4 linked regions of the Mus musculus genome follow. The protein of the gene in region 1 purifies or fractionates together with the protein of each later gene. This does not show direct contact. Links are inferred from orthologs where the notes say so. Each region holds a gene or a part of one and is shown on either strand. Other genes may lie near its edges. The genes, in order: Mphosph6, Exosc5, Exosc3 and Exosc9.

The links.
Region 2: the proteins of Mphosph6 (region 1) and Exosc5 purify together in Homo sapiens (affinity purification with mass spectrometry; 6 studies listed by BioGRID and IntAct, with this or other methods). This does not show direct contact. The link is inferred for Mus musculus from reciprocal best matches to the Homo sapiens genes MPHOSPH6 and EXOSC5.
Region 3: the proteins of Mphosph6 (region 1) and Exosc3 purify together in Homo sapiens (affinity purification with mass spectrometry; 6 studies listed by BioGRID and IntAct, counting the BioPlex papers as one, with this or other methods). This does not show direct contact. The link is inferred for Mus musculus from reciprocal best matches to the Homo sapiens genes MPHOSPH6 and EXOSC3.
Region 4: the proteins of Mphosph6 (region 1) and Exosc9 purify together in Homo sapiens (affinity purification with mass spectrometry; 5 studies listed by BioGRID and IntAct, with this or other methods). This does not show direct contact. The link is inferred for Mus musculus from reciprocal best matches to the Homo sapiens genes MPHOSPH6 and EXOSC9.

What each region holds. Positions count from the first base shown.
Region 1 is NC_000074.6:117,797,148-117,805,297, forward strand, and holds the start of Mphosph6 (M-phase phosphoprotein 6), read right to left. Parts: upstream 4,828-8,150; 5' UTR 4,756-4,827; coding exon 4,705-4,755; exon of another isoform or gene 4,697-4,704; intron 2,010-4,696; coding exon 1,897-2,009; intron 1-1,896. UniProt on the Homo sapiens protein: RNA-binding protein that associates with the RNA exosome complex. Involved in the 3'-processing of the 7S pre-RNA to the mature 5.8S rRNA and play a role in recruiting the RNA exosome complex to pre-rRNA; this function may include C1D.
Region 2 is NC_000073.6:25,656,532-25,664,586, reverse strand, and holds the start of Exosc5 (exosome complex component RRP46), read right to left. Parts: upstream 5,435-8,055; 5' UTR 5,352-5,434; coding exon 5,204-5,351; intron 1,451-5,203; coding exon 1,337-1,450; intron 340-1,336; exon of another isoform or gene 261-339; coding exon 139-260; intron 1-138. Other genes in the region: Bckdha (2-oxoisovalerate dehydrogenase subunit alpha, mitochondrial), read left to right, coding at 5,847-5,954. UniProt on the Homo sapiens protein: Non-catalytic component of the RNA exosome complex which has 3'->5' exoribonuclease activity and participates in a multitude of cellular RNA processing and degradation events.
Region 3 is NC_000070.6:45,315,800-45,323,887, forward strand, and holds Exosc3 (exosome complex component RRP40), read right to left. Parts: upstream 4,818-8,088; 5' UTR 4,793-4,817; coding exon 4,472-4,792; intron 3,901-4,471; coding exon 3,751-3,900; intron 2,031-3,750; coding exon 1,879-2,030; intron 1,230-1,878; coding exon 1,028-1,229; 3' UTR 814-1,027; downstream 1-813. UniProt on the Homo sapiens protein: Non-catalytic component of the RNA exosome complex which has 3'->5' exoribonuclease activity and participates in a multitude of cellular RNA processing and degradation events.
Region 4 is NC_000069.6:36,560,742-36,568,315, reverse strand, and holds the end of Exosc9 (exosome complex component RRP45), read right to left. Parts: intron 7,214-7,574; coding exon 7,125-7,213; intron 6,299-7,124; coding exon 6,152-6,298; intron 5,244-6,151; coding exon 5,059-5,243; intron 3,452-5,058; exon of another isoform or gene 3,099-3,451; coding exon 3,020-3,098; exon of another isoform or gene 2,888-3,019; coding exon 2,809-2,887; 3' UTR 2,589-2,808; downstream 1-2,588. Other genes in the region: Ccna2 (cyclin-A2), read left to right, coding at 385-592, 1,203-1,316, 1,642-1,775, 2,034-2,082. UniProt on the Homo sapiens protein: Non-catalytic component of the RNA exosome complex which has 3'->5' exoribonuclease activity and participates in a multitude of cellular RNA processing and degradation events.

The sequences.
Region 1 (8,150 bases):
AAGAAGCCTGAATTTTAACTGGAAACTGCAAGAAAGAACCAGATAGGAATTCTATAGCCTAGAAAAAAAACTGTGAAGGAGGAAACTGGTGTGGGCATGACAGGAACGCCAAGACCCCAGTGCTCGGAGGCTGAGTTTGAGGCAAGCTTGGGCTGCAGAGGAAGGTCCTGCTTCCAACAGTCCTGCACCCCCTAAAGAAAACCCATCTGAACTCATCACGCACGTCTTCTGGATAAGAACACTTCGGGCCGGGCAGTGGTGGCACATGTTTTAATCCCAGTACTTGGGAGGCAGAGGCAGGCAGATTTTTGAGTTCACAGCCAGCCTGGTCTACAGAGTGAGTTCCAGGACAGCCAAGGCTATACAGAGAAACCCTGTCTCAAAAAACAAAAAACAACAACAAAAAAACTTTTGGACCCCAGATGACTTCACTGGTGAGATCTGATCAACAGTGGAGAAGAAACAATGGAATCGTGTCAATTTTATGCAAACCAGGAAAAGAAAGGAGTTACGGACACTCAGCAACGGGCCCTGTGGCCCAAGTCAACCGCATTACCGACGAGGCACAGGCTACACTGGCTATGAATATAGTCACAGGTTATTAACAAAAATTCTGGAACTGAACTGGAAAAATAAGACTAAACAGGCTATTATGTCCAAGCCACTGCACAGTGCTCCATCGCTGCAATCTCAGCACTCAGAAGGCCCAGGAGGACCGGGACATAATTTATTTTGATGCAAAATTTTGTTAAGTACAAGGATTAGACCCAGTCCCTCTTAACTGTTATTTTAATCTGACCTGAGATGTTTAAGCCTTTTACTTTGTAAGGAACAGATTTAAGAGGGTGGTTTTCAGGTGACAGACAATCTAAAGCCAGGTGCAGAACTATAGTCTTTTAAGTTAGGATGGAAGACAGTGTTCAAAATGTTGGACTGGACATTGGGTCTATCTTATACCATATAATTTACAAAAATGGTAGTAGTTGCGCTTAATTTATATTTTGAGAAATTTATATTTTTTAAATTAAACAGAAAGGGTGAAATGTTGCAGGATTTTCCCTGTCCAATCACATTAGGACAGTGGGAAGCCTGTGATTGGACAGGAGAAGGGAGGTGGAGCTATGAGTTGGGGAGATACAGAGGTCTCAGGAGGAGAAGCCAACATGGAGGCAGAGGGACTGTCAGGAGGAGAAGCCAAAATGGAGGCAGAGGGACTGGAAGAAGATCCTGATCCCGTGTGGTTTTAAACAGCCACAGGTAGCTAAGATTTTCACAAGGTTAGAATAACTGGGGTAAAGGCTTTATCATTATCAGTTGGCTCTGAAAGTATTGTAATTGGCTTCTTGTAAATTGTGATTTCTATTGTTATATAAATCTGATTAGGTAATTAAGCTTTAAGAGTCATGATTTGCTGGGTGGTAGTGGCGCACGCCTTTAATCCCAGCACTTGGGAGGCAGAAGCAGGCGGATTACTGAGTTCGAGGCCAGCCTGGTCTACAAAGTGAGTGCCAGGACACTCACAGAGTGTCCCTGTGTACACAGAGAAACCCTGTCTTGAAAAAAACCAAAAAACCCCAAAACAACAACAACAACAACAACAAAGTCTTGATTCTACCTGGTAATTAGGTGGGGTGTGCGGAGCATTGAGTGGAAGTGAGAAGAACTGGGCTGGGGGAGGGGAGGTGTATTCTAGAGATGGCCCGGCTGGAGCCCTGTGGCCTCAAGGGGCCAGAGAGACATGAGCTCACGTGGCGCAGGGGCCAACTCCAGAGAGTTGGAGGCTGCAGGAGCGTGGCCTGGCCCCCGCTGAGAGTTTGTCTTAATATTTCCCGCAACACTCCTCATCTGTATTAGCCTCCCCCACCTTCCCCTCCCCCATGAACCCCAGTCACCTACTCCTTCTCCTTCAACTCCGGCAAATCCAGGTACCAGTGCTCGTCGCTGATCATCTTCCGCTCCTCCTCTTCTAGCTGTTTCTTGGTTTCCGAGTCCAGGCCTCTTTGCATGAACTGTTAAGACAGGAGCAAGCCCGTGTCAGTGCCCTGGCTCATGGGTGGCCAGCCATAGGTACCAGGGCACCCGGCAGACAAACGACTCCCTGAGTACCAGTGACCCTTGGATTAGTGACCCTGTGGTTCAAAGTACAGGTGCCTCACACGGCCCCTTACATTCTTGGTGGCAAAACCTGACTAACTGCCTCCTATCTTCAATTTCGCCTTAGCGGATACATGAAGGCACACAGTCAGTCAGTCACCCACATCTACACTGGACAGAGGATAAGAACATGGCTGTGAACCAAGCATGTCTAGGGTTCGGAAGACCTCAGAACACACTCTAAAACTAGCAATTTCACCTCCCTCAAAACTGAGGGTTCAGAGCAGACTCTGGGAAACTATAGCTCTCCAGCTCCATCAGTAACTGTCTAGGGTTTTTTGTTTGTTTGCTTGTTTATTTCTTAAGGTTTCCCAGATAGGATTTCACTGTGTAGCCCTGTCTGTCCTGGAACTCAGGATGTAGACCAGGTTGGCCTTGAACGCAAGAGATCCACCTGCCTCACAGGCCTCTTCAGTGCTGGGATTAATGAAGCATTGCTGTATGATGTTTTCTATAAACTTGGGTTTTTCCTCTGGGCCCCAAGCTCCCATAAATAACAACTCTGAGACTCAAATATATTTACAAATACCTAGGCCAGATAGCATCCCAGCTCAGCTTGCACTCAAAGCTCATGGGGGAATGCTCACTCCCCGGCCCTCGACACAGCACCCGTTTATGCCTTCCTTCCTTTTCTTGGAAACACGTTCTCTAAGAGAGTTTTCATTTCACCATAAGCACTGACAGACCACAACTTCACATGGTGAGGCTTAATGAATCAAATCACCTTTAAGATGGTGGGGATCTGCTACCACCCATTAGAAACACTACTAGGAATGCTGTTTCCTGGGCTAGCCATATGTAAGAGGAGACTCTATTAGGCTGCTGGGGCACAGTGGGCCACAGCTCCCAGACAGCTACACCATCCTGGGGTAAGCTACTGAAACTCTATAGTGTACTGTGTAGCTAAACTATACCGCTTGGTAGGTAGGACAGCTCTGTTAAACACATGTTTATAATACTGTTGAGTCAGGCGTTGTAATCAAGCTCCCCGTGTGTTAGAGACAGGTGCTACAGGCTAATCATTACAAGCAGAAGCTCTGGGGCCAGATGACCAGTCTTTTCAGCTGTTACTTCTGTCTCAGATACCTCAGGTGTCAGAGATGACAACTGTAACTCCTTCAAATGTTACTATGTGAATTAAGTGGTTCAGTATATACACGGAGAACAATGCCGGAATATTGGGAGGACCGTGAATACGTTCTATTAGTATTATTTAAGCTTCAAGAGTTAGCTTTTCCCTGTCTTAACTCCTGTGTTCATCCGCTTTTAACCCCTTTTAAATTGTGGTTAAGCTGCTTCTGTTTTAATGATGTCTGAGACAGGGTCTCATATCCAGCTCAGGCTGGCCACAAATTAAGCTCCTGCCTCCACCTCCCAAGTGCTGGGATTACAAATGTGTGCCATCAAAGCCACTTCAGCTGGCTCAACTTCAAATTTAAAAATCATGGGCTGGGGAAGTTGGCTCAGTGGCTAAGAGCACCCTTGACTCTTGCCTAAGTCCTGGTACTCATACCTGCTGACTTAAAACTCCAGTTTCAGGGGCTCCAACACTCTCTTCTGGCCTTCGCAGGCACCTGAACACACATGGTATATATACAGCTATGCATGCACACACACAAAGGGAAACTCATTTTGTTTAAAAGTTAGTGGAGAACTCATTTCACCCCACTAACATTTTCTCCATTCCCACCACGAAGACAACCTTCACCCAGAACACAGGAACTTTTTTAGCTCATCCTTTTGGCTGTGAGCTTTCACGTTGTTGGGCTGGGCCTTTCTGATTAACCATCATCCACAGTTCAGTTAAAGTGGCCTTAAAAAAACAATAACTAGCCAGGCGTGGTGGCGCACGCCTTTAATCCCAGCACTTGGGAGAGGCAGAGGCAGGCAAATTTCTGAGTTCGAGGCCAGCCTGGTCTACAGAGTGAGTTCCAGGACAGCCAGGGCTACACAGAGAAACCCTGTCTCGACCCCCCCCCCCCCCAACAAACAAACAAACAAACAAAAAGCAATTAACTCAGAAAACAGTTTCCTCCTGCTCATGAGGCAACAGGAACAAAACTTCAGCCTGGCTTACAATTCCTTGGATGTGTGACCACTAAGATTTCCAGCCTCATTTTATGCTCCTTGTCTTTCAGACGTCCGAGCTACCTTTAGTTCTTTGCAACGTCCCTGATTTTCTCCTTCTTAGCTTCTGGACTCACTTTCCCTCAGTTTAGGACACTACCTGCCATCCCTCACGTTGTTCCTCCTTAGGGACCACTTCTCGCGAGAAGTCTAACTTCCCAGGCGGCCCAGACACTAAAGCCACCACAGCACTCAACTCTGCAGGCTCTGATGAACGTTGTGCAGGCTCCCTCCCCACATCAGGCTAAGCAAAATCTCACCCCTGGTGCCCAAAGGCCCGCAGGCTGAGCGAATGAATGGGGTGCGCTGGCCGCGGCCATCCCGAGCCAGTCTGCCCATCGCTTCGGCCCGAGTCCCACTACGGAACATCTCGGAGCTCAGCAGCCTCCCCGCCCGACAACCCAGCATTCCCGACCTCAGCACCTTCATGCGCAGCAGGTTCTTGGATAACTTAGTCTTGCGCTCCGACGCCATGTTGGACGCACTTGCAGAGGCTTTCCCGCCGCACTGCGCTTGCGCACGGTCAAGAGCGGAGCTAGATAAGACGACGCTCTAGACCCGCCCGGGCCACGTCGCTTACAGGCGTGGCAGAGCTTTAGCTCCGCCCCCGCGCCGTTGCCACGCCCCCGATTAGGCACACCCATCGCGCTGCCCCGCCCTAGTGCTCGGAGCTGCTTCTGGCTTCTCCAGCTCCCGGAGCGCGTCTCTCCGCAAAGAGCTGTGGTAAGAGCTCGGGCCACCGCGGGGCGACTGCGATTCAGGGTCCCAGGGCTAAACTCAGGAAAGGCGGATTAAGGGGAGGACGCTGGAGCTGTAGGCGGGGCCTCCACGACACCCGAGGACTCCCTAACGACCCGGTCTGGAAGTTCCTTGCTGAGGTCCTAGCTGAGGCCGCTGAGGTTGCTGCCAGAGTTTAAAAGTTTTAAAAATACGAATGGTGGCTTTCTATGAAGCGTGTTTTCTAGAACTCTCAGTAGCCCTGAGCCGCTGGTGTCGCTATGCTCTGTCCCAGAGTGAAGGAGGTGGTCACAAACCCAGGCTGCGTGATAGCTGTAGGGCTGCACACAAACCGTGGAAGACTGATGAATATGCATACACCTGTTCGCTGTGCATCTTGGAGCCTGAAGGATTTCCTTCTGGAATGGGAAGAATGGCAGGAACTAGCAAGAGCTGTACGCAAGGCGACAACTTGTGAAGGGGCCAGGGGTGGTTTAATGGGTGAAAACACTTGCTGCCAAGCCCGAGGAGGACATGAGTTTGATCCCCGGGACCCCCGTGATGGAAGGGCAGAATGGACTTCCACAAGTTGTGGTGCCGTACCTCGTAAGTATACGGAAGGACACATCACTGGCATGTAATAAGCAACCCGCTGGAGAAGTGGTAAAGTCGAGATTCATAAAGCATTCCGGATATTAAACGCCCTGCAGGTTTTCTCAGTGGAGTAAATAAAGACATAATGTGTTAAGTGGTTACAGAAACACATTTACTCATAACTGTCAGTGAGACATGGGTGAGCACCAAGGGGCTAAAGACACATTCCCACCCTTTCCTGGAGCTACATTAGAAAGCAGTAAATACCGTGGAAGGAAGAAAATGGCTGCAGCCAGTGACTTTTAGGGTCACTTTAAATTTAATCCAGGGTGGCCCTCTTCAGATCAAAGTGGGAAGGCTTGAAAGTCAAGAAAATATCGTTATATGAAGCCTTGGTGGTAGAATGTACCAAAAATAAAAAATAAAATAAATAAAAATCCTGCTATCTTGTTACCGGACTAACCATATATGGCAGACTTATGTCTCCTTCCATTCAAATACTGAAGTCCTGACCCCCATTATTTCAAAATGTGACTGTGTTTGGAGACAGGGCTTTTCAAGAGACAACCTTTAGGACGAACCCACATCCAGTGTGGCTGGTAGCCTTTCTTCCCCTGTGCTGTAGACGAAACCTACAGCCACACACTAAGCTTACCACTTAGCTAAATCTTCAGCCTCCTGTCATAAGATGAAAACTTCTGAGTGCACCAGAGGTGTGTGTGCTAAAAGAAAGACCATTTACACGCCAAGGAAAGAAGCCCCAGAGAAGCCAAAACTACTACTACCTTGGTCATGACTATAAGAAATACATGTAGCCGACACCCAACACCCCCTCCCACCCCACCCCTGTAGTATTTCATTATGGTGACCATAGAAAAATGAAGTATCATGTAACTATAAGTTACAGTTGTGACAAGAGCTTGCTGACCAAAGATGGCATAGCAAGAGTCCCTGAGCCTCTCTGGCCTGGCAAAGGCAGTGTATCCCAAATGGTATGACATTTAATTGTTTCAATAATCCCTTGTTTTCTTAGCTCCCACCCCTTGTTACCCCTCTGGCTTATGGTGTTGTGTTTTATTTTGATATTCCACCCCACCCTAAATTTTCACTCTAGACACTCCAGTGATGCCCCTCCTATAAAAAGAAAAAGGAGGATTTGTGGGATGTGAAGCTATGCTAAAAGGTTTGGTAAGGTAGAGCAGGTTGAGACCCGGAGACTTGGTGGGCACACACCTGAGACTTAGTCGACTTCCACTCCTGGCCTTGTTTTACATCCTACAAGTTAGCCAAGGACTAGTTAGTCCTCCCAGTCATTCCCAGGGCTGTGTGCTGTAGCTGCAGGTCACCCACTCCCCATTTTGCAAATCTGAAACTCTACCAAGCAAACAGTACACAATCATACCTGCTAATCCACTTCCTAGAATTCTGACCTTGGCTACTGTGTAGGATTTTGAAAGAAGTGCCTGAGGACAGAGGAGAAGAAAAGGTGACTTAATCTCCAGGAAGCTCGAGGGTGTCTGAGTTAACTCTTGAAGGATGAGTCCTTTTGGGTTAAGAAGAGGAAAACATCGTCCTTTGTGGATGTAATAGCATGTGTACAACCATCAACGGCTGGCCAAGCTCCATAACTTCATTCAGACCTCCATTATTTCTAGTCTACTTGAGCACTGGGTTTTGATTTGTTTCCCCGAAACAGGGATGCTATTGTCTCAATTCTTCAGCACTCGTTTGAGAGATAAAGACCAAAGTTTTCAAGCAGTCAACTAAAAACATTCTGTATTTTTATTTGGTGTTGCAAATACTTAAAACGAATACCCAAAAGTCCTACCTCTCCAAATGTAATACATGAGTAGTAATTTAAGACTAATAGTGTAATTGTGGCTTTGAATTGCTCCCCACAGGGAAGATAACTCCTTAATCTTTTGATGGTACTAGATTATAGAACACAGGATAGATGCTCTACTCAATAACATGTTGTGATTAAATACAATAAAGAAATCACTGTTTTGTGGTCAGAAATATCCTAAGTAGGTCTTCACATGGTTCCGAGTCATGTCATGATGAAGTTGGTTGGGATTGTAAAGGCCAACTACTGGATCCATCAAGAAGAGGACTCCTCTCTCCATATTGAGTCCTCCCACCCTTTCTCTCCATGTCTGCAGTACTGACTTCAGAGCTGCTGTGGCAGCACACACCTTCCCCGTGCGGGAGCTGGGGGAGAAGAGTCTGGGGCCTGCAGAGGATGCTCTCATGCAGAGATTGAGGCAGATGGTATATTAAGTCCCACTTGCTACTTTTGCTTGTTTGTTTCCAAGTACCAGTTATGAAGGGGCATACACAAAACAGATTTATTGGGATACCCCGTAGTTCCTAGAGTTGACGAGGGGGCTTAAGAACAAAGGGAAAAAAAAAGGGCAGCAGCCAGGACCACCAAGGAATCTTGGAAGCAGGGATGAATGTAAACTGTCACTGGGTGAACACCAGCAGATTTCTCAGCTCTTAAGGCACTCTGCTCACAATTTCAAAGTCAAGGAGGGTCTCCATTTGTCCTGGTTTAG
Region 2 (8,055 bases), on another chromosome or scaffold:
GAACCATCTTGTTGACCATGGCCTTGTTGTATGCTCTGCAGGAGCTGCTGCCTGGCACAGGTCCTGGGTGGCTGAGGGTACGGAAGCCGGAGGGGAGGTTCTGGCCACTTCCTGGAGGAGAGGGCTGGGAAAGGATACAGAGCCAGCGTCGCTCACCACCTGCAGCACCACGGTGATTGAGGTCCGGGGGTGCAGGGCCCCTAGAACCACAGCTTCACAGGTATTCCTGACCAGCCGCTCGCGGCTCTTCTCGGCCACGCCTGGGGAGACGGGAAGCGGTCAGGCTCTTCCCTTCCACCCCGTCGTCTTGCTCTGCTTGGTCCAGCCTCTGGAGGGAGACTTCAGGAAGGGGCTGTCAGCCTCAGTCCGGGTCGGAGTACACACTCCCAGGAGAAAGCGGGCGAGTCTGCAAGTTTCTGAGTAACTCCTGCTATGGCCAACCTTGGCCAGGGGTCTACCAGCCAGCCACCCAAGGAGGAATACCCAGAGGTGCCCATGTCCTGTGCTACTGGCCATATCTACTCTCATCAGAGCAGGCCCATCCCATGACACATGGGGAGAAGTGGTAAAAGGGCAGAAAAACAAGTTAATGGGAAGGAAGAGCGAGGAAGGCAAAAAAGGGAAGAAAGAAAAGGCTCAAGAGAGGGTGGGTCTGGTGGTACAGGTCTGTAATCTCGAGACTTTAGGTTAGGCAGTGGGATCATGAATTTGAGGGCAGCCTAGGTTATAAAGAGAGCTCACTGCCAGCTCAGAGGACTTGAGACCCCGTCTCAAAAAGTTAACAGGGGGGCTGGTGAGATGGCTCAGCAGCGGTTAAGAGCACTGACTGCTCTCCCAAAGGTCCCGAGTTCAAATCCCAGCAACCACATGGTGGCTCACAACCATGAGATCTGACTCCCTCTTCTGGTGTGTCTGAAGACAACTACAGTGTACTTACATATAATAAATAAATAAATCTTAAAAAAAAAAAAAGAGTTAACAGGGCTGGCTACATGGCCTAGCCACATAGCCTTAAATTCACTAGGGAAAAGCTAATGGTGTGGCTCAGAGCTGGAATTCCTGTCTGGAGACCACCAGTGAGGATCTGGGAGGCCTAATCTCAGCAGCAGAGGGCTTGACCGGACTCCACCCTGGAGAGCCTGGGACTGTGGCTTCCTGGAAGTGCATCTGCCCAGCAGGCCTGATGCTCTAGATTCCATTCCAGTGCAGCAGAATCAAAAGCTGGGCAAAGAGGGAGGAGAGCAGGGCAGCAGAGACTGGACACAGCAAGCATCGAGGGGTCAGATGAGGTCCCAACAGACTGGATCTTTTGGGGGGCTCAGTGGAGTCCAGTTACCAGGCAGCCCGATCTTCGGCCTCAGGATCACTTCAAGGGTGGCCTTGTTGAAGATTTCTTTGCTGACCTTCACCTCGGCCGGCCCATAGACTCCAGCCAGGACAGAGGTATCACCTGGGGGAAAGAGGGAGGCCTTGGCCGCTCTGTGCTGCACTTAGCACTTCTTTCCTCTGCTCTCTTAACTTTAAGCAGCTAAGTACCTTCCTCATGGTAAGTTTGTGAAGATCAGGTGACTGTGGCTCACAGAAGCAGGAGGCCCTCAGTCTCCCAACATCACACAAGAAGATGAAATAAATGCCAACTTTAAAGAGACACAGTTCACTTGAAACATATAAGACACTGGCCAGAAGGTGCAGAGCTTACCACAGACTTCAGCCACTGGTTAATTTTTAGAGGTAGCTGGGGTTTGCAGAGATGGCTGGTGGTGTGTGTCAGCATGCACACTGCTCTTCCAGAGGACTAGAATTCAGTTCTCAGCACCCATTATCAGGCTGCTCACAACCACCACGAAACCCAGCTCTAAGGGACTGACACCCTCTTCTGCCTTCATGGGCACTCGCACACACAGCTCTCGCCCACACACGCATATACATATCCCAGTGTTTGGGAGACACACAGGAAGATCAGGAAATCAAAATCATCCTTGGCTCCAATGGTAAGTCTGGGGCTACCCTGAGCTACGGGAGAACATCTCATAAGCCAGCCAAGCAGAAAACAGTTATTAGATGCAATTAAAATATATTAGTAAAATACATTTTAAAAGGACAAACAATAAAGATTGTGAATGTGTAGGGGGTCTTAATTTCTACTTATTTCCCCCAAATGGTTATGAATGGGTCTGGAGACCTCGTGTGACTTTGCTAACGTCCACAGGCGTCAGAGAGGCCACCTACGATGTGAAGGCACTGCATTCAACAGCAGTTTCCATGTTTCTGACTGTAACTCCCAATGCCCACTACACTTTACAGCACAGCTCCAAATCGATAAAATGTATGTGTATAAGTCGGTCAGAGGTTGGGGCTGGAGAGATGGCTCACAACTGTATGTAACCACAGTTCTTGGGAAGATCGTACTCTTCTGTCCTCAGGCACTAGGGACATCCATTTAAAAAAAACAGTTATTTAAAAAACAAGGGCTTAGGAATGTCACTCTGAGGTGGGACATTTATGCAAAGTCCAAAGCAAAAACAAAACAAAACAAAAAAAAAAACAAGATGGCAAAACCAAGATGGCAAGCCTACACAGGCAGCTTCCCCGGCTCTGTAGGTTTTCATCGATGTACTTTCTGAAATCAGGTTCTATATGGTCAAAGCTGGCCCTGACCATGCTATCTATGTAGCTAAGGGAGCAGGGCACGAACTGTTGTTCCTCTGGCCTCTACCAGCCCTCCCTCCCCCCGTACTGGGATTAGGGGTTTTGTACCATCAGGTGTTTTTGGTTTGTTTGTTTGTTTTTGCCTTTAAGGTAAGCTACTGTGCCGGCTAGTTGCTTCTTTTGCTTTGCATTTTGTCAACTTAGCCATACCTGGAAAGAGGAAACTCAAATGAGGAATTGCCTCCATCAGACTGGCCTGCAGGCAGGTCTGTGGGGGCATTTTCTTTTTCTTGAGACAGGGTCTTGCTGCATGATCCTGTAGGGCATTTTAGTGATCAACAACTGATATAGAAGGGCCCCCACTCACTGTGGGCAGCGCCACCACTGGGCAGGTGGTCCTAGGTTATCTATGAAAGCAGGCTGAACAAGCCATGAAAAGCCAGGTTCTGCCACGTTGATTCTGGTTATGTCCTTGTCACAGCAAGAGACTCCTAGTGAGGACAAATGTCAAGTAATAGGGATATTGTGTCATTATCATACATACACATCATTTGCACTGCTTGCCTGCCGCAGCCACAGCCCCCTCCATCGGGTGTTCTTACAGGAGCCTTTGAGGTCAGAAGTGTCTGCAACATTCTTTTTGAAAGTCTGCCAAGTCTCCAGCTTGCACTAGGGCCCTGTGAGTTTAGGGTTTTAGAACATGGGAAGGTTCCCTCTCTATTTCTTATATCCCAAGAGATAGGGGAGGCTGATTTCAGCAATGAGCTAAGCTGAGAGCCAGCCTGGGATGAGAACACTAAACATCTGTGGGTGCTTCTCCAATGAAACCAGAGGTAACCCAATAGACTCAGGTGCTTACTAGAGCTACATTCCTGTACTGCTAGATAGACTGTGCTCTCAGCGAGCAAGGGAGTCTCTTTCTTCCCACCATCTCGATGATGTGGCTGCAGAAATTCTCTTCTTTTCCCCCTAGTATTTATTTTACTTTTTAAGTTATGTGTGTGTGTGTGTGTGTGTGTGTGTGTGTGTGTGTGTATAGTTCCCTGCAGAGGCCATAACAGGGCTTCCAATATCCTGGCTCCCCACAAGTTACAAGTGCTTGAAAGCTGCCTGAATGGGTGCTGGGAACTCAACTTTGTTCTCTGTAAGAGAAACCATTTCTCCAGCCCCGAGCTGTCTCCCCTTTTTTTTTTTCCCCAAGACAGGGTTTCCTGGCTGTCCTGGAACTCCCTCTATAGACCAGGCTGGCCTCAAACTCATAGAGACCCTGCATCTGTGTCTCAAGTGCTGGGACTAACGGTGTGTGCCACCACTGACCTGCCAGTTTTCTCCTTTCTTAAGCTCTATCAGTCGTCAGCTCTTGCCCCATCTATCTGATTCCTTCGCAGGAAAATGCCTGGAGACTTGTCTCAACTGTTTTTTTTCTCGCTCTTTCTGACCCACCACTATAAGCAATGACCTCTAGCTTATTAGCCATAAGGTGATCAGCCTTTAACATCTCAAACAAACTCACCATTGTCAACTCTGTCTCTGCCCTCTCATCTGTCTACTCTGGTAGTTTCTCACCCTCTCATGACCTCTCAAAGTTGGCTGGCCCGACTGGGATATAGGGTTGTGTGGGTCTCAGCCACAAGACTTCTCTTTTCTCCCTATTCATTTAGTCTGATGAAATGTGTATACCAAGGAAAGGCACGTTTTCTTAAATGATGGGACCGGGGAAGGGGAGATGCTTCTCAGCCCAGGATGGGAAGATCACATTTAATTTGAAGAGCACTTACTTAGATGTATCATCTGCCACAGTAATTATATTTAAACCAGTGGTGGTGATGTGTCTGTCTCAAAGGGTATTTATGCAAATAAACACCTTAGCCTCAACCGGTGATGTATGGATCTAGAAGTGTTTTTTAAGAAATCTAGTCAAAGCCAGGCGTGGTGGCGCACGCCTTTAATCCCAGCACTCGGGAGGCAGAAGCAGGCGGATTTCTGAGTTCAAGGCCAGCCTGGTCTACAAAGTGAGTTCAACAACAAAGTGAAAACAACAACAACAACAACAACAACAAAAACCCAAGAAATCTAGTCAAGGGGAGCTGGAGAGATGGCTCAGTGGTTATGAGCACTGACTGCTCTTCCAAAGGTCCTGAGTTGAATTCCCAGCAACCACATGGTGGCTCACAGCCATCTGTAACGGGATCTGATGCCCTCTTCTGGTGTGTCTGAAGACAGCTACAGTGCTCTTATATAAATAAAATAAGTCTTGAAAGAAAGATAAAAGAAAGAAAGAAATCTAGAGAAGGGTAATATCTGCCTTGGTGAAATACCTATTCTGGGATAGTCACTCTTATGAGAGTGGTCTTGCTCTCGATCTCCTCTGAGAGGGATTTACCAGGCTGGCCAACTCATTTCTTCTCGAGACGGGAGGTGGGTATACTCAACATCTAGAAATAAGTTCAAGGAGGCGGGCGTACTTGGTTACATACTACACAGTAACCGCTCTTCAAAAACCCTTCTTCGGTGAGGATGGCGCGCGCTGAGTTAAACTTGGTGAGGCTCGTACCTTGAAGAAAAGAAGCAGATCCATCCGGCCGGGACAGCAGGTTTTGCTCACAAGCAAAGTGCCGGAGACTGCAGACTGGACTTCGGGGGCTGGACTCTGTTCCGGTGTCAGTGAGTAAATTGGCGTCTGCACGCTTTGCGCCCTCCATAGCCGCTGACCACGCGCGCTGCGGCTCCCACCGTAGCTTCCGCTTAGCGGCGCGCGCAGTTCTACCGGCCGCGTACCTATTGCGCATGCGCCCGTCTAGGGCACGCCCGAGTTGGCCCTAGCACGTGGCTCAGCGTTTACTAACAATCTGGTCCCGCCCACCTCCACCTCCCAATTCTGGCATAGCCATTGGACAACAGGGAACAGGGGGAGGGACTTGGAGAGGGCCCATTTTGCTCAGGGCTCCGGGTCCTGAACCCTGAAGGTTCAAGTTAAGTTGTCCTTTTAGTTGCCTGAATTAGGAGCAACTAGAAGCAGACGACCGGAGCAATTTTAGAGACTAAAAATTGCCACCTTACTCATTTATGCGTCTTTGTCGCAAGGTGGTTAGAAGCAGATAGCGTGTTGGCCTAGCGGTGCTGCTATTTGAATAAGGCATCTGGTGGGACAGCCGTATGTCTATCCTGTGAGAAAGGAGGAGTGGTTATTAGCCAAGATGGCGATAGTGATGTCTGCGGCCAAGATCTGGAGGCCGAGCCGTGGCCTGCGCCAGGCTGCTCTTCTCCTGTTGGGACGATCTGGGGTTCGGGGCTTGGCTAGATCTGTGAGTATCTGAGCCCCACGGGGTCTTTCTTAGGGAGAAATAGAGACGTAAAAGTTATTCTTACATTGTGTGAGACACCGCGGGCTGTGAAGGAAAGAAAGAAAAGGTCCGAGAAACTTCTTGAAGAGAAATTCAAGGGAAGAATCCCTTTAGAGGAAAAGCAAGGCAGCTACTTGTGGGCCTCGATAGAAGGAGACGAGACGGGGGTTGAAAGGACAGATCAGGTTTTCATAGGGTCCTACATTGCTTAAATTCCAACTGTAAAGGGAGTTGAGCAAGAAACTGGTTTGATTCCTATGCCACCTGATCAAAAGGCAAGGCAAGGGACTTTGCCATGACTGTCCTTTACACAAGATGATTATGAAGGGAGACAAAGAGAGCTACAAGTTCAAACAGGACCCTTTGCCCACGTTATTTTTTTGAGACAGGATCTCACCCACGAGTCCGGAATGGCCTTTAGCTCACCCAGATGCTTAGACAGGCATCGAACTGGAGATAGTCCTGTCCCAGCCTCCCAAGTACTGGCATTACAGATGTAAGCTACGGTGCTTGGCTGCCCACTTTTCTTGAAAACACTGGAGAAAACTCGGAATTCCCTTTTGATCCATTGTTGATAAGGGCAGGATAACACTTCCAAAATCTGTTGCGGTCTGGCAATGTACCACCACAGTGTAGAATGCTTGCCTAGCACGCGCCACGTCCAGAGTTTGGCTCCTAGCCCTGTGTGTTTGTTTATCTGGATATGGCGACACATGTCTGTAATTTCAGCGCTTGGGAAGTAGGAGAGGAGGCATTTGAGGCCAGGTTGAGTTACGTGAGACCCTATCTCAAAAAAAAAAAAAAAAGATTTTTAAAAATGGTTTACTTATTTTTATTTCACGTGCATTGTTGTTTGGTCTGCATGAAGATGTTGGATTCTGTAGAACTTGAGTTGCGTACATACAGACAGTTTTGGACTGCCATATGGGTCCTGGGAATTGAACCCAATTCCTCTGGAAGAGCAGCCAGTGCTCTTAGTCACTGAGCCATCTCCCTGCACCCCCCAAAAGATTCTTTTTAAAAAGAATAGGACCTGGTGTGGTGATGTATGCTTTTGATTCCAGCACTTAGGCAAACAGATCTCTGTGAGTACCAGGCCAGGGCTACATTGTGAAACTGTGTCTTTTTCTCTTTTTCATTTATTTATTTATTCACTCCACATCCCGATATCAGCTCCCCCTCTCCTCCCAGCCCCTCCCCCCCCCTTACAGCTACTCTTCCTGTTCCTTTCCCCCTTCTCCTTTGGAAAGGGGGAGCTTCTATCACCTCCCCAGCACATCAAATCATTGAAGTACCATACACCAACGCTAGACAAGGTGGTCCAGCCAGGGGAAAAGAATCCACAGGCAGGCAACAGGTTCAGAGACAGCCCCCATTCCAGTTATTGGGGGACCCACATAAGAACAAGCCACACAAGTGTGTGTGTGTGTGTGTGTCCAGGTCCAGCCAGTGCTCATTCTTTAGTTGGTGGTTCAGTCACTGAGAGCCCCCCCCCCCCCAGAATCCACGTTAGTTGACTCTGTGGTCTTCCTGTGAAGCCACCATCCTCCCCTGGGCCCCCAGTCCTTCCCCCAACTCCTCCACAAGACTCCCCAGGCTCCCTCCATGTACTGCTTGGCGGGGGTGGGGGTGGGGGGGGGTGGGGGGGGGTGTCTCTGAATCTGTTTCCATCTGCTGCTGAGTGTAGCTATTCCAGGCTCCTGCCTGGAAGTATAACAAAACATCATTAACAGCCTCAGGGATCGGCTCCTGCCCGTGGGATGGGTCCCAGTCATTGGTCAGTCATTCCCTCTATCTCTGCTCCATCCATGTCCCTGCACATCTCGCAGGCAAGACACATCCTGGGTCAAGGGTTTTGTGGGTGGGTCCCTCCACTGGGAGTCCTGCCTGGCCACAGGCAGTGGCCACTTCAGGTGCCATATTCTCAGAGTCGTCCCCATAGACTCCCTGGGGCCTCTCCCACCCCACCCCCAGGACTCTGGCACATTGTAAAGACAACTCAACCCCCACCCTACCTCTGCTGCCAATTTCCATCGACTTCCCTGCTCTCCCTGCACCTGAT
Region 3 (8,088 bases), on another chromosome or scaffold:
TACTGATCCACCTTCTGTGTTACTCTTATTGCAGGATAGGCAAGGCCTCAGGGAAGCCCTTTAAGGGACTGGGCCACATAGGCTTCAGGGGTCCATAACTCATTCTCAGAGGTCTGACTGAACTGAGAACCCCTCAGCTCTTACCACCTGCCAGCCTACACTTTTCCCTGTGGAGGTTTTACCATAACGTAGATAGCACAGAATCTTCCTCCAACTCTAAACACTCCTCTTTATCCAAAACCTGAGCTCGTAGGTTTTTAAGATTGTGGGAATTCTGTTAAATGATGTTTAGCCAGCCTTGGATTAAAAATCTTCATCATACTATTACATCTAAGGAAAAAAAAACTGAATATATATAAAAAATACTAATTATGAAGTGAAATATTTGTAATTACTGAAGTTTTTTATAATAGCCATGAAAGAAATATATCCTGTTTGGACCAGACAGAGTATAAGTTACAACAACTTTTAACTCCAATTTGAAAAACATACACACACAGTGGTTAAACTTCAGGCCATGTTACAGTCTGTGCCTCAGTATCTTTGAGTGTTCTCTGCAGTTACCAGCAATGAGAATTCCTGGTAACTGTGTGAAACACTTGGGACAATACTTCTCACACAGTGAGTGCTTAAGTATGAGCTACTGTGTACTCTTCCACTGGCTTCTGGGATTACAGACGGGTTTATTCTTTGCTTTCATTAATGTGTTCAACATTCCCTCTGGCAAGGAAGGCTTACGATTATAACCAGAAAACAGGTTTAGTGTTGCATTCCAGCTCACTTTAGAAGCTGTACTGTAGAACTACAAATATAGACACTACCAACAAAGTTTATTATATAAAAGTTTTTATAATTTTCTCATCTATACATGATTGACAACCAGTATCTCTTACAAAAATATTTTATTCAATTCTAGTAAAATAATATGCTTCTTCTAAAGATCTGCCAGGAAGAAATTCACCTGGAAAAAAAAATTTCCCCAGGAAACTCAGTCTTGACTAAAATATCCATTAAGAAAATTTATATGTCAACTCTCTGCCAGTCTGGCAAAGATCTGTTTTCTTTGCTCTGTTGTCATGTGTTCACAAGCTTCTAAGACATTTGCTAAAATTAACGTCTGCTGAATGGTCTTAGCTTTGACCCATATTCTTCCATTCATTCCAAACACAATCTCCAATGGATAGAGTTTTCCCAGCTCTTGCACAATTTCACAATCTGGAGCTAATAGCCTGTTAGGAAAGATGAAAGAAAATGAAATTTAATAAAGTGTATGTTCTGGGTCTCCTAAACAAGGTTCCTTTTCTGGAATTTCTTTCTGAGTGGCTCTCTGTGACTACGCAAAGTCCGCTCAGCATCGTCCCAAAACAAGACTTGATGTCTCTGCTGCTTTGATGTCTCTGCCCGGTCTTGAGCACATGCACGTGTGTGCGCGCGCGCGCGCACACACACACACGCACACACACACACACACACACACACACACACACACACACACAATGCCTCTGTATTTGGAGAGGAAGTCTACCTAGGTCATGTAAACTAAGTCTCAGATTTGTAGGTGTGAGAACGCTCCTGCCTTCCCGAGTAGCTGGGACACAGTGCCCAGCTCAGTGCCCCTTTCACGGTAGGCTGGTCACACTTTGGTAGTAGGCCCCATTTTTTACAAATATACATGCAGCACAGATTTGACTCAGTGGCTTGTCTTTAAAAAGGGCAAACTTAGGAGACAGGGTGGAGAGGGGAGGAAAGTGGGGAAGGAACCTGGAAGGAGTTACAGAGAATGGGGAGCAAGTATGACCAACAAAACACCATTACGAAATTCTCAGAGTAAACAGGTCATTAAAGAAGGCAGGGCAGTTAATAAGCAGCATAACCTACTTTCTAATTAAGCCCAACGTCACTTTGAAGAGCAGGCCATCCTGCCCAATCACACCCATCCCATTGGCGCGGCCACAGCTGTCAATGCAGACCATCTCTGGTTCCATGTCTTTATTAGCGACCACACACTGGCCATAGATGAGATCTCCAACCTGTAAGATTAAAACCAAAGTTCAGTTCCCTTCATCCAGACAACCTACAGCTGCTGCTGCTGGTTCTGATCCATGGGCAAGAATGCCAGGGACCCACAGCTGTCACACTAAGGGACTGATGGTCCTCAGAATTCAGCCCTCCCACCACACACCATGAAACCCTCCAACCAGGAGCCATTCCAAGGCCTAAGAACAATCTTCAAGACTGTACTGCCCAACTTACATGTAGTTTAATTTAGCCTTGTATCTACTTAACATATATAAAATTCCACTCTTCAACAGTTCAGCTGCTCAGCAGCCACACGTAACTAGTGGTAACTGCACACGTCAGTGTGGATATAAAAACAAACAGCATCACCGGAGAATGTTCTATCAGTACTAACAAATTACATGTTTGTCTAGAGGAAAAAAACTCATGATATCCATATTCAAAAGAAAACAGGACAATGGTAATTCAGATACTACTTCATGGAAAATTTGCTTTAAAATGTTACAAAACTGAACTTTAAAATGAAGCTAAGGAAACAATAAATTTGTTCTCTTCAACATTAAAAATACCCACTGTTGAGCTGGAGATGGCTCGTGGGCTAAGAGTACTTACTGCTCTTGTAGGGGACCCAGCTTTGGTTTCTAGCACCCGTGTAGCTGCTCACAACCTGTCATAACTCAAGTTTCAGGGGACCTGACCTTCCTGTCTGACCTCCACAAGAAGCTGTCACACAGCGTGCAAAAACATACATGTAGGCACACTTTCCTGTGCATACTTTAAAAATGCCTTGTAAGTCCCCACTGTTGTGGGTGATTACAAAACCTAGCGGGAATCATTACACCTTTTCCGGCTTCCTGGGCATGTGGTCCTGCACAGGGCAATGAGAATGAACCCAGTGTGTGGTGAATATGCAGGACAAGTGACGATGAGACAGTCATCAACTCAGTCAGCCTGGACCTCAAAGGTGATGTCTCCTAGGGCTGAGGACACAGCTCCAAACAGGAACACCATTAATAAAGACCCAAGGGAAGGAAACAAAGCCCAGTTACACTGTGAAGCTTAAATATGGTTCCATGAAGTAACAGAAACCACGAGGAAAGACCCCTGAGTACAATGCTCTCTGTGTGATTTGAACAATCCTTTTTTTAATGAGATTTTTTTTTTTAATGAGTTCATAAGATTGTTGCCCGCTCCTGTCAAAAGTGAGACAAAGGGGTTGGCATACAAAAGATAAGAGAAGGAACAAATAAGATTGAGTGACTAAAGACCCTTGAGAGTTGAAGAAAAAGCAGCAGAGAGGCCAGCACATTTCTGGCTCAGGTGTTCAGGAAGAACATGGCTAAACTACCCAGAAAGCCCAACCTGAAAACCTACAGAAACAAGATTACTCTTCTGTCAGCTCCAGCTCCAAGGATTTAGAGCCATGATGAACAGATAGCCAATAGTGCCCATGGCCCTTAGACTAGGGCCATTTTCCTCATGGGGTGGATTCAGACATGACAGGTAAGGAGGGGGATAGCAGATGTAACTCTTCAACCCGGTAGAAAAGAACCAAGGCTGCAAACATGACATACAGCAATACTTCTGGAGCCGCAGCGCCTGAGAAACTCTTATAAACTGTCTTGGAGAACTGGTTTATGCTTTGAAGACAATTCAAGTAGCCCTCTGGATAGTTAACTTTCTCGGGAGTGGATATTTTTTCTTGTTGAAACCAAAGACTCCCATTATTACCTGCACATTTGGTCTGTTTCTTTTAGTTGCCCCTTCAAATGCCAGGTAAGACAAAGACGCTGGCTCACTCCCTCCAACATCAACTTTGAATATATCTCCAGATTTAGCGATCACTATGCCAATCACGTGGTCCCCTTTCACAGGTACATACTAAAAGCAGAATGAAAGAACAGTCATAAATAATACAAATATCATTACAAAATATCTTCTGAAACTTTCATCTAGGTTGATCAGGGTGGGTCTCAACCTATCCAGCCAACTCATACTCCCCATGTAGCTGCAACTACAAAACCGGCCCGCACCAGTCCAACTTTATGAACGTCTAATTCACACTTGATCAAGTTTCAAGTTTTCTCAGCATCCTTTACAAGTCTGGTGGCACAAGAATCTTTACATTCAAGGAAACCCACTCCATTTGACATTATTCCTAAGTGAAAGCTCTTAATTATTCTATGGGAATTTTAATTCCCTGTGATTTATTTGGACTCATTGCAACTGGGACACCAAATGGCAACCCCGAGGCTTTGGGTTTTTCAAGACAAGATCTCACGGAACCTTTCTCTCCTGTCACCCTTCTCAGGATGTGTTCCTATTGTGGTTCCTCTAAAGAAGATGCAGAGAGGGGGCTAGAAGCCACCGCGGCTCTAGATTCGCCTTAACCTATGATCGCTTGCAGGGGGCCCACTTTCGCGGCAGCGCCGCCTCTCCGACATCCGCTCACCCGCTTCTGCTGCGAGTCCACCCAGTAAACGCCGCCGCCGCCTCCGCTGGGCTCCTTGTGACGCAGGCGGCCACACTTGGTGACCAGCAGACGGTCCCCGCAGCGTCGCAAACCTGGGCCACACACTACGCGCAGCCTCGGGCGCGCACCCGCATTCAGGCGTAACGGCTGCTCCCCGGCGCCGCCAAGGCCGTCTACGTCCTCGTGGTCCGGCAGCACCAGCTCCTCCCCGGGGAGAACCACCTGATTCAGCACCTTGTGCACGGCCCGTGCTCGGCAGCCCGCCACCGACTCCGGTCCCGCGGACAGTACTTCAGCCATGGCAGGCGTCACCATCGCAGCTTCCGGTATCTACTTCCGCTTCCGCTACCCGCCCACCAGGGTCATCTCTTTCCGGTGGTTGTGGGCTTTCTGAGTTGGACTTGAGCTTGGGAGATACTCGCTTCATCCCATGGGTGCTACTCCCTGCCCTGTGTCTGTAGCTTCACGGTACCTAATGTAACAATCTCCCACCTCCTCCCACACACATCACACCTTTTCACCTACTTGAGTTCATCTCTTCAGTGGCTTGGGAACATCGGTAACTCAGGAATTCTCCCAGCTACTTCTTTGGGAGCACACTAACAGCTATGTGAGAAACTGTTAAATCCAAAACCCACAATGTGCAAGAACTTAAGAACTTACAGTTTTCTGACTTTGGGGTTATCTGTGAAACCAGCGTTTCTCTGTCGGCATCTTCAATGAGTAATTGATTCAGTTCTCCAACAGCACTGAAGGCCTTGGCATTGACTGAGATCAGTTGCTTGATGCTTTGCTGCCAACTCGAGTTTATAGATTTTTTTTTTAGGGAAGGGGCATCACAATTCCTGCAAATTTGGTAAAATGCTGGCAAGCCATTTAATCCCTGGATATAAGGGACAACTGAAATACAAGTGCCCCAGCCAAGTTGTTAATTAGTGCTATTGAAAGACTGAGAGTAAGACTCCGAGGTAGGCAGATAAGGAGAGGAGCCACGGCTAGGTAACAGGTGATGAATTGTCAAGTTGGCTAACTTCTTCCTCAACCTCAACCTCCTAACTCAATACAAGCTTAGCAGCCTCAAAAAAAGGCTGTGTAGGCTTTTGTGTAGAGGGTAGGAGGGCATGTGCTTCCAGGTAGTCCTATAGAAACCAGAATTGTTAAACATGCAGATCTTTTTCTTCAATGGAAGAAATTGACAGCTATTCACTTGGAAGGCTGGAATGGAGGTTGTTGAATACCAGGTAATTTTACCATTCTGTGGAGCTAGCTCTCACCTGAATCCCCCTTTTCCTGAGCATTTCCAGTCCATAGACTCCATCCTTATAAGAGAGATCTCATGGATTTGAAAAAGAGTTTGCTATTATGATTATAAAAACCTTTCCTCCCTAGGCTCTTCTCCTGAGCATGTTTTCTCAGTCAACAGAACCCACTCTTGTGGAAGAGGTCATGGTGCTTTTCAAGAAAACATGCACTTTGCAAGGGAGTTTAGATATAACCGTGTCCTAAGCTTTGTGGTAATAGTTGTCACAAGAAAACCTTTTTTTTTTTCTTTTGAAAGTTTTACTGTTTAAATAAGTAATAAATAAATAAATAAAAATAAACTGGAGTCAGACTCCCGAAGTTTGTACCAGCCCGGCTAAGTCATGCTGAACCACGTTTACTTCTTACTTTCTGGGGATCCGCTGGCAGCAGAGCTTGCAGGGACCCCCACACTTTTAACTCTCACCTGCAACAACAGCAAGCCCCCTGCTGATGGGCCGGTTGAACAAGTTCAAGGCCTGCACAGGACACATTACACAACAGTTCTGGCCTAATTCACCATCAATTCTTTATTCAAATCGACCAACCCTACATTTGGGGGAGGGGGGGGGGAGAGACTCTTCAAAGACTTTAAAAACGCCAGTTCTCCAGAAAAGATTGGATTTGGGGTGCTGAATCCCCTATGTATTTTGAAAAGGGTCTTTTTCTTGGTGTCCAGTTTGTGGTTTTCTTCACTCCTCATAAAGAGCTTTCTTCAACAGCTGATTATGTCGTCTGCATTTGAGAGGTTTCTGCTTCCACCTGTCGAGCGCCATTTTTTTTCCTTTCAAGCCCCCTAGACTGTACCACTTGGTTAGTCTCTCACAGAGAGACGTTCTCTGGGCAGAGGTAAATTATGCTTCTTTCTTCCTTTATAACTCAGGTCTCAAAAAACGATAGGTATTCTGTGACTAACCAACCAAGCCCACTTTAATTCAATGGCTCAATGCTATGCCTTTGGTGTATTCAGTGATGTCAGGCCTCTGAAAGGTGGAGAAGGAGAATGAACGTTGCTCATTCTCAGGACTGGTCCTCAGCACCTACCCTAGGTAGTTTGGAGTTTCCCAAGGAAATAGAATACAAAATCTAGGGCAGGAGCCATACCCGGTGCACTTCTTTTAGCAAAGGGGCAGGAGGTAGCCCACGCGTGGATTCAGAAAACAAAGGAGGCTAAGTCATTGGAGACTCAAGGCCAGAAAAGGCGGGCCCTTGCAAGCACCACCCACCGGACACGCCCGCGAGGGCCTCGAGCTGGAAGGCTTGTCGCCTGAGCCCTGCCAAGTTTGTACTTCGAATCCTCAGGTTCCTGCGGTAGCGCACCTGCGTGCAGTTAAGAGTCTGTCTCAAAGCATCCTGGCTTATAACCTCTTCGGAATTCAGCAGCAAGAGGGATACTCTGGATTCGGGAGTGGTGATAGTCATGAAGTCTCGAAACGACAGGAGGTCTTTTTTAATGGTGGTGTAAATGGCTGTGGCCGTTGGAGAATAAAGAGAACACTAAAAGACAGTATAGGCCATGTGGGTACCTCTTTCTCAGTCTGGCTTGTGCAACTTTTCCCTGAGTTGCCCAGGTAGACTCAGCTGCGTCTATATTGAGTTTGCAGTGGAGGCCATTTGGGGGTTTGAGTACCACAGGCCTTCATCCCTACTTAGGCAGCCGAGTGTTACCACCCTGAAAAACTGGATCTCAACCGAAGCTTTTCAAGCTTTTCCTAGATGTCTTAGTTTCTCTGTCTCCGTCTCCCTCCGTCTCCGTCCCTTCCTCCTGCTATCCCCTGTGTCTGTCTCTGTCTCTCTCTCTTGGTTTGTTTTTTACATATGTTTTGTGGAGAGGTAGAGGGCTACTTGCAATTGTCACTTCGCGCCTACCACATTAGTTCTTCCTTGGGTAGAATTCAGGTTTTCAGGTGTGGCTGCAAAGCGGAAGTTGGAACAATGGAGCCCCGGGCTTCCTTTCCATTGCTTACTTCTAATGTTTCAGGCAAAAGGAACCACAGCTCAACACTGGGGACAGTTATCCTCTCAAGGGGACTCACACATATCTGTTACAGCACCACGAAAAAATAAGCTCAGAACAAGTCGTAAGTTAGTTTACTATATTAGCCAGAAAACCAAGATGTGCTTGCATCTTGTGAGAATAGTAGCTACAGACCGGATTTCAGAGTGGTTGAAGCCACTTAGACTATAAGTTTAGATGTTAGGAAAAGTATGTGCTAGCATATTCCTTTTTCTGCCTTCAAAGACGATACTTTTTTAGATATACTCTTCAGGATTGTGGCTGGAGAAGTATTAGGTAT
Region 4 (7,574 bases), on another chromosome or scaffold:
GATTCTGAACAGAGAGTGAAACTTATTTTCTAATCTAATATATAAAGCTTTCTAGATCTGGATTTCACATGCCTTGAATGAGCATAGGCCAACCACATTTTATCACACTAGATTGAGTTTGAAAGTGTGGCTCTTCTACAATAAAGTGCTTTCTGGGGTATAAGCTGTATCTTCCTTCTATCAGGAGATATTGTATGCAGGGGGCGAATCAGAAGTCCTTTAGTGACTTGGGCCTTTGAATTGGTTTTAACCATCTCAGCTAGAGATGTCAGTCAGCTGTCAGTGGGATGTGGTTGATGGAAGTGAGTGGAGTCTACAGTCTTTGCACTTCAGATTAAGACAAGACCTTCTGAATAAACTCACTCACAACTGCTTTTGTTATAGGAAGTTTGAAGAAATATACCCCCCAGAAGTAGCAGAGTTTGTGTATATTACAGACGATACCTATTCCAAGAAGCAGGTTCTGAGAATGGAGCACCTAGTATTGAAAGTCCTTGCTTTTGACTTGGCTGCACCAACAGTAAATCAGTTCCTTACCCAGTACTTCCTGCACCTGCAGCCTGCAAACTGTAAGGTTGAAAGCTTAGCAATGGTAAGTCCAGTTTGGGGGTTGTTTTTAGGTTGCAATTAAGGGGCAAGCACTGGTTTCGTCAAATAACACTGCTTAAGTCTTTTCGGACAGTTAATGCTCCAATACACAGAAAATGCTATGGCCCTCTCTACCTGTGGGCTCTGCACTTATGGTATAATAAACAGGCATTAAACGTAGCTGCCCATGTACTGGATAAGCACACACCAATCATATGTGTATTGTCTATTTTGTTTTACAAGTAATTCAGTGATATTCTATGTATATAGCATTAACTTATGAAAATAGCATGCATCTTTTATATGTAAGAGATTTAAGTATCTAGTGTCCATGGATAGGGGCTGAGAGGTTCAGGAGAGAACTTCCCAATGAATACACAAAAGTGACCATGCTGGAAAGGCGCTAACTAGTGGCTTAAAGAGAACAACCTAGTATATTAGGGGAGAGAAATGTAAGCTGAGAATAGAGGAAAACATTGAAATAATTTTCCCAGGGCTGATACAGAACCAGTGAGATCCAAGACAATGGAAACTGGTCAGGAAGCAAGGATTCAAAATCTTGAGTCTTATGTGTGATTATAAAAGTTGGGGTTTTGTTTTGTTTTTTATTTCAGTTTTTGGGAGAACTGAGTTTGATAGATGCTGACCCGTACCTTAAGTACCTGCCTTCACTCATTGCTGGAGCTGCCTTCCACTTGGCTCTCTACACAGTCACAGGACAGAGCTGGGTGTGTATTACCAGTTGCCTTCTCCAGTATGGGTGCCGCTTTGATTTGGGCTGAAAGCTTAGCTGTAAAGGTGCACTGAAAGCTCTGCTTCAAGAATCTGAGCCTTCCACCTGCTGCAAGCAGGGGAAGTAAACAGCCAAAATAAAAGATGGAGTGAGTGAGCTGAAACAGGGGGGACACCCTGAGTGAAGAATTGAGGAGGGAGCAACATTTAGAAATAACAAAACATCCTGTCAATGATTAGTGCCAATATTTAGATCAACTGTGAGCTTGTGGTCAGTGCCCTGTGCTGTTACAAAAAACTCAATGGTTGTCCCTTCCCTAGCCTGAGTCATTGGCACAACAGACTGGATATACCCTGGAGAGTCTTAAGCCTTGTCTTGTGGACCTTCACCAGACCTACCTCAAAGCGCCACAACATGCCCAACAGTCAATACGGGAAAAGTACAAGCATTCAAAGTAAGAATCCAATTCTTGTTGAATACAGTAACCTGCCACTACCTCAGTTGGCTCTTAAGTCATGTATTAGGAAGCTTTTGTGCCTTTGCTTCTGGTAAGAGAAGGGTAAGGGGGCAGATGTATGTGCTCTACGTATCAAATGTTTTTAAATTCATAATCAAGTAAAAGTAGCATTTCTCCAGTCTTGGGGTACATGAATTGTTCTGTAATCTCCCCAATGAATGTTTACTAAAAGTTTTTTTTTTCTCTGCTCAACAGATATCACAGTGTTTCTCTTCTCAACCCACCAGAGACACTAAGTGTGTGAGTGAAAGACTGCCGGCTTTGTTTGAAACAGGAGTCGCTCGGAGTCCATGCTGTACAGTTTTTATGTCGGGTTTTAGTTTCACAATCACTTCTGAATGTAGATGGTATAGCCACAGACAAATTATGGTATCCATTGCTTTTAAAATGGTTTTAATTTGTATATCTTTTGTACATGTGTCTATTTGGATAATTTTAATTGGTTAACATTGGTGCTGCCAACTGTCAAGATATTGAGAATAAACTGATTTGGAAATCTTTGCAAGTCAAAGTTAATCTGAGATAAAAATATGAATGATGTCGTTTAGAAACTAACTTGATTTGTTTTATTGTACAGTGGGGAGTAGGAAAAGATTTTATAAAACTAAAATATTTCAGGGAAAAAGACCTTCAAATTCTGGCATTGATTGATTATTCTAAGCAACCAAACCAAACTGCTGACTTGTTCATAAATAACCAAAAGTAGACAAACTGTTTTCAATGTAGCAGAACTCATTCGGCTCTCAGATGTTACAGTAGTTTATGGAGACATTTTATTTATCAACTTTAACAAATAAGGTCTTACATGAGTTGGGAAGCTTGTGCAACAGAAAAGTTTTCCAGAAAGTTTATTCAAAGCATAATGTTAAAGACAAACAGTGTATCAAGAAGTTCAGCTTGTAAGATACCCAGAGCTGTTAGCACTGAGTATGTATACACACACACACACACAGAGATCCACCACTTTAGCTTAGTTAGCAGTTCTCTTCTTCTTCTTCCTTTTCCCTTGGCCTTTACTTGGTGCCTTCTGGTTTGCACTGGTCTGAGCTCTGTGAATGAAGTAATATAACAGCTCACTGTATCCCATCTGTCCTGGATTGGGTCACTGGGACTCTGAAAGGTGCCCCATTTTATAGAACCAGCTTTTAATGTATATTTGAAAGAGGCCAGAAATTTGTTACCTTATTTTCTTTGGGTTCTTCTCTGGCTCCAAAATAATCATTTCTTCTTCTTCACTATCTGATAGCACTATAGGGGCACCTTTGGAAAAGTCCAAAAAAGGAGTTTACTGCTTAAGCACATCAGAGGTCCTAACGCTCCCATCTCCAGGCTAAGGGAGCTCCCAAGCTCTACTGCCCGGAGGCTGACACTCTTTCCGAATCTTACCCTGTTCTAAGTAAGTAGCTCCTTGCAGCTCTGAAAATTTGTAAAAATTGATGTTTTCTATAAACTCTTTCTTTCCTTTTTCCCCAGAGGACATGTAGGCCAGAATGCTCTAATTCTTGCTACCAGGACTGCCCATGAAAAATGTAGAAAACTGCTTTGTTTGCCCATTTTTCTCTTGAACAGTAATTATATATGTGTGTAAATAAAGCATGCAAATTAACCCTTTACCCATTTGGTGGGCTGTGTGTTGTCTCATCTTTATTCACATGTTTTAGGAAAGCTCTACCTTCTTCACTGTCCTACTTATTTTAGGTCCACTTTCATTGCTCAGGGTTCTTAAAACCACAAACAAAAAGCCTCTATGAAAAGAGATATACAAGTGCAAAGATATACTAGCACCGTAATAGTGAGAAGATAAGAAAAAGCATTACTGATGATTAAACCAACTGGATGATTCTCTATGCAGCATTTAATAGTCCTAATTAATTAGGATCTTTAATTTACTCATTTATCTGGTTAAACCAACATTGTTCCCCTGCCAAAACAATACCACCAAAAGGCTGTAAGTAGCAATTCCCTTCTGTTAACAGTGCATACTGCTATGAGTTCAGGGAATAGCACTCACATGGGGGCAGCTCACAATTGCCTGCAACTCCAGATTTGATGCCTGACTCTAGCCTTCAAGGCACTCATTTCATACATAGGTAGCACACATTTAGTGACGTCTTTAAAAGCATGTACCTACAAAAGAACCAGAGTTTGGTTCCTGGCATCCATACTGAGCTGCTCACAACTTCCTGGGACTCCAGCAAGTTCCTCTGAACTCCCTATGCATGCCCTGGCATACTGGAGCACACACATATACATAAGACCTTTCTGGGGGCTTCTAAAGTTTCCCACATTCTAACATACCAATGTGGCCATACTAACTCAGATAAGCCACACTTAAAATGTTCAATAGTGGGCTGGTGAGATGGCTCAGAACTAACTGAGAAGAGTACTGACTGCTCTTCTGAAGGTCCTGAGTTCAAATCCCAGCAGCCACATGGTGGCTGACAACCACTCGTAATGAGATCTGATGCCCTCTTCTGGTGTGTCTAAAGTCAGTTACGTGTACTTAGGTATAATAAATTTAAAAAAAAAAATTGTTCAATAGGTGAAGCTGCTACCCTAGCCAATGTACATAATTTCTTACCACAGAAAATTCTACTGTGCAGTATCTCTGTGTGTGCGTGCTAGCATCCACAGAGGCCAGAAGATGGCATCAGTTTCTTGGAGCTAGAATTATAGAGAGTACTGGATTATTGTGATTGAGCTTCAAGTGTCTCCAGAGCTGAACCATCTCTCTGGCCTATTTCATGAGCTTTTTTATATTTGAATCAAACTAAACAAGGCTGTTGGCAGGAAAGAAATCTTTAAGAAAAATCTTTAAGTGCCCATGGACATATTTTTGTTTGTTTTTGAGACAGGATCTCTAATCCTGCTGCCTGAAACTCCCTATGTAGAAATGTTCCTGCCTATGCCTCTCCACAGTGCTGGGATCAAAGGCGTATGCCACCACACCTGGCTACATGTAATTTTAAAAAATTGTTCAAAATATCACTAGTATGCCAAAGCATACCACCAGTTTACAAAAATAAAAACATTCTTTACAACTGGTATTAATATTTCTATTCAATCGTTTAATTAAAATTTAGTTTCAATGCTAAAATATTTAGCCTTCCAAAACAAGAAATATCCCTATGTATGATCTATAATCTCCATACAAAACTTTGTCTATAGTTTAAATATCTCAATTGTGGCTGTCTCTGTACACATTAAAAGCATCACCTACCTTGACTCCCAATATCAGAAACTTCTCCAGTGTCCATCTTTGTATCATCAAGAATGACAGCTTCATCAATGCCACCTTCCTCCTCTTCCTCTTCCTTCTCAGAATCTTCAAGGTCACCCCAGGAGTTTTCTATTCCGTCTCCAATCTGGGCAGTTCCAGGAGTCCACAGCACAGGTTGAGAAACACTTTAACAAGTTAAGAAAACTGAATATCCAAAACACTGTTATTTAATGAGCTACCAAGAAGAGATCAGATTTCCTGGAAGACTGTTTCATGTGTTCCATAAATTCTTAGGAATTAATATACTATGGACTGCTAAATAACATAACTGCACATGATCTCAAGATTATATAACAATGCATAAAGAACTTGGCCATGTCATTAACACTGAAGTACCATTTCTCAAAGGGAAATGAATGCTGGCTTTGGTTTGTATTTTCTTACAGTGGTGAAATGGAACCCAGGGCCATAAACAGCTAGAAAAGTGCAGCACCAATGATCTACATCCCCCAGCTTTTAGTTGGGTTTTTTTTTTTCCAAGACAGAGATTCTCTGCATAGCCCTGGCTGTCCTAGAACTCACTCTGTAGACCAGTCTGGCCTCGAACTCAGAAATCCGCCTGCCTCTGCCTCCCAAGTGCTGGGATTAAAGGTGCGCGCCACCACGCCTGGCTAGTTGGTTCTTAAAATAGAAAAATGTACGATTTTTAGATAGGGAAGAGAAGCTAGATGTTACATTATTAACTCAGTTTGGCATATTTTTCTCTTATAGTATGGGGTCCCCCAAAACAAACTTCAATATGTACACTCTAGCCTTAAAGAAACAAAACAAAACAAAAAACTTATGCATCTGATTACTGTAAAACCCACCCAATAGGGGCTGGTGAGATGGCTCAGTGGGTAAGAGCACCCGACTGCTCTTCCGAAGGTCCAAAGTTCAAGTCCCAGCAACCACATGGTGGCTCACAACCATCTGTAACAAGATCTGACTCCCTCTTCTGGAGTGTCTGAAGACAGCTACAGTGTACTTACATATATTAATAAAATAAATCTTAAAAAAAAAAAACAAACCCACCCAATAAAGATACACTTACACTTCTGGGGGAGGTTCAGCTTCAGCAATAATTTCTTCTGCTCTCTCCTCTATGTTGGAGGTATCAATAGGGGCCGTCTCCATTTTAAACGCTGTGATTCTTTGGTTTGCTATAGACTCTGCAAAGCCAAATTTTCCACCTTCTTTCCTGTAGATGGAATTTTGGTAGTGGTGGTTTTGAAGATAAAAAGACAAAAGAAAAAAATTAATTTTTGTCCTTGATAGGTAAATAGACTTGCTTCATTACTAGACTTTTGATAGCTTTAACTAAACTTGACACAGCCTAGAGTCACTTGAGAAGGGAGGCCTTGACCAGACCAAAAACTATCAGTGAGGGAGTATCCTGACTGTTAATTACGGAAGAGGGCTCACACCACTGTGAGGGGCACCATTCCCTGGACAGGTGGTCCTGGGCTGTCTAAGAAACGTAGCTAAGCATAGGCCTGTGGGCTGACATCAGTATTCCTCTGGATCTGCTGTAGCTCCTTGGCTCTGGGTGAGTTCCATGACTAAGAGAATGCTACATGGGTAGTGAAGAAGCCTAATGCCAGGTCCCTTACCACTAGAATACTACCACAGTAACCGAGACATAAAAGTCATCATAACGATTGTTTGGAACTCGGCTGCACATGCGTGAGGTACTTGAAGTATATTCTCCAGTTCTCAAGTCAGCTGTAGGGGAAGGCACAGCTCCCACAGAAGAAGAACATGAAGTTGCTTAAAGTAACAGGAAGTTGAGCGGCAAACCAGCATGTTTGTTCTATTAATTTATTAGATTCTTCTTTCATAAGAACATATTAACTTTTAAAGAAGACACTTCTGTAACTTTTCAGAATAAAGTCTCAACTAAACACTAGTATGTACAACTGAGATTAACTAAAGAGCAAGCACGAAATTATATGGCTGCCCTTGGATGAGAAAATCTCATAAAACATGAATTTAAAGAGCATATAATTTTGAAAAATGATACTTACCTGACTCTCTGGTCATTTTCCAAAGCTTTCTGTATTAGCTCTGTGATTTCTGCTACTTTCACACCAGCTATTTTACTGCATCTGAAAACCTGTTTACAAATACAGGATGTTACAGACAACAAATCAAACAGCTTTTTTTAAATGAACCCAAAACCATGACATCAATTTTCTACCTTTAATGTTTAAGCATTTCTTTTCCAAATACCAAATTAAGGCGCAATAAACACAAGTAAGACAATATATATAAATTACAGAGATCACAGATAAAGTGTGCTCAGGAATACAGGCTTCCTTTCTGTGACAATAATCCACAGGAATCAATAGTGGTTGCAATCCTATACCAATGGTGCTGGGGACAATATGGAAATGACATTCGCTGAGCACCTGGTATTCAGACCCTTACACACAAACACTTCAGTTGCTTCTATTCTATGGTGCCAGTAATAAAAT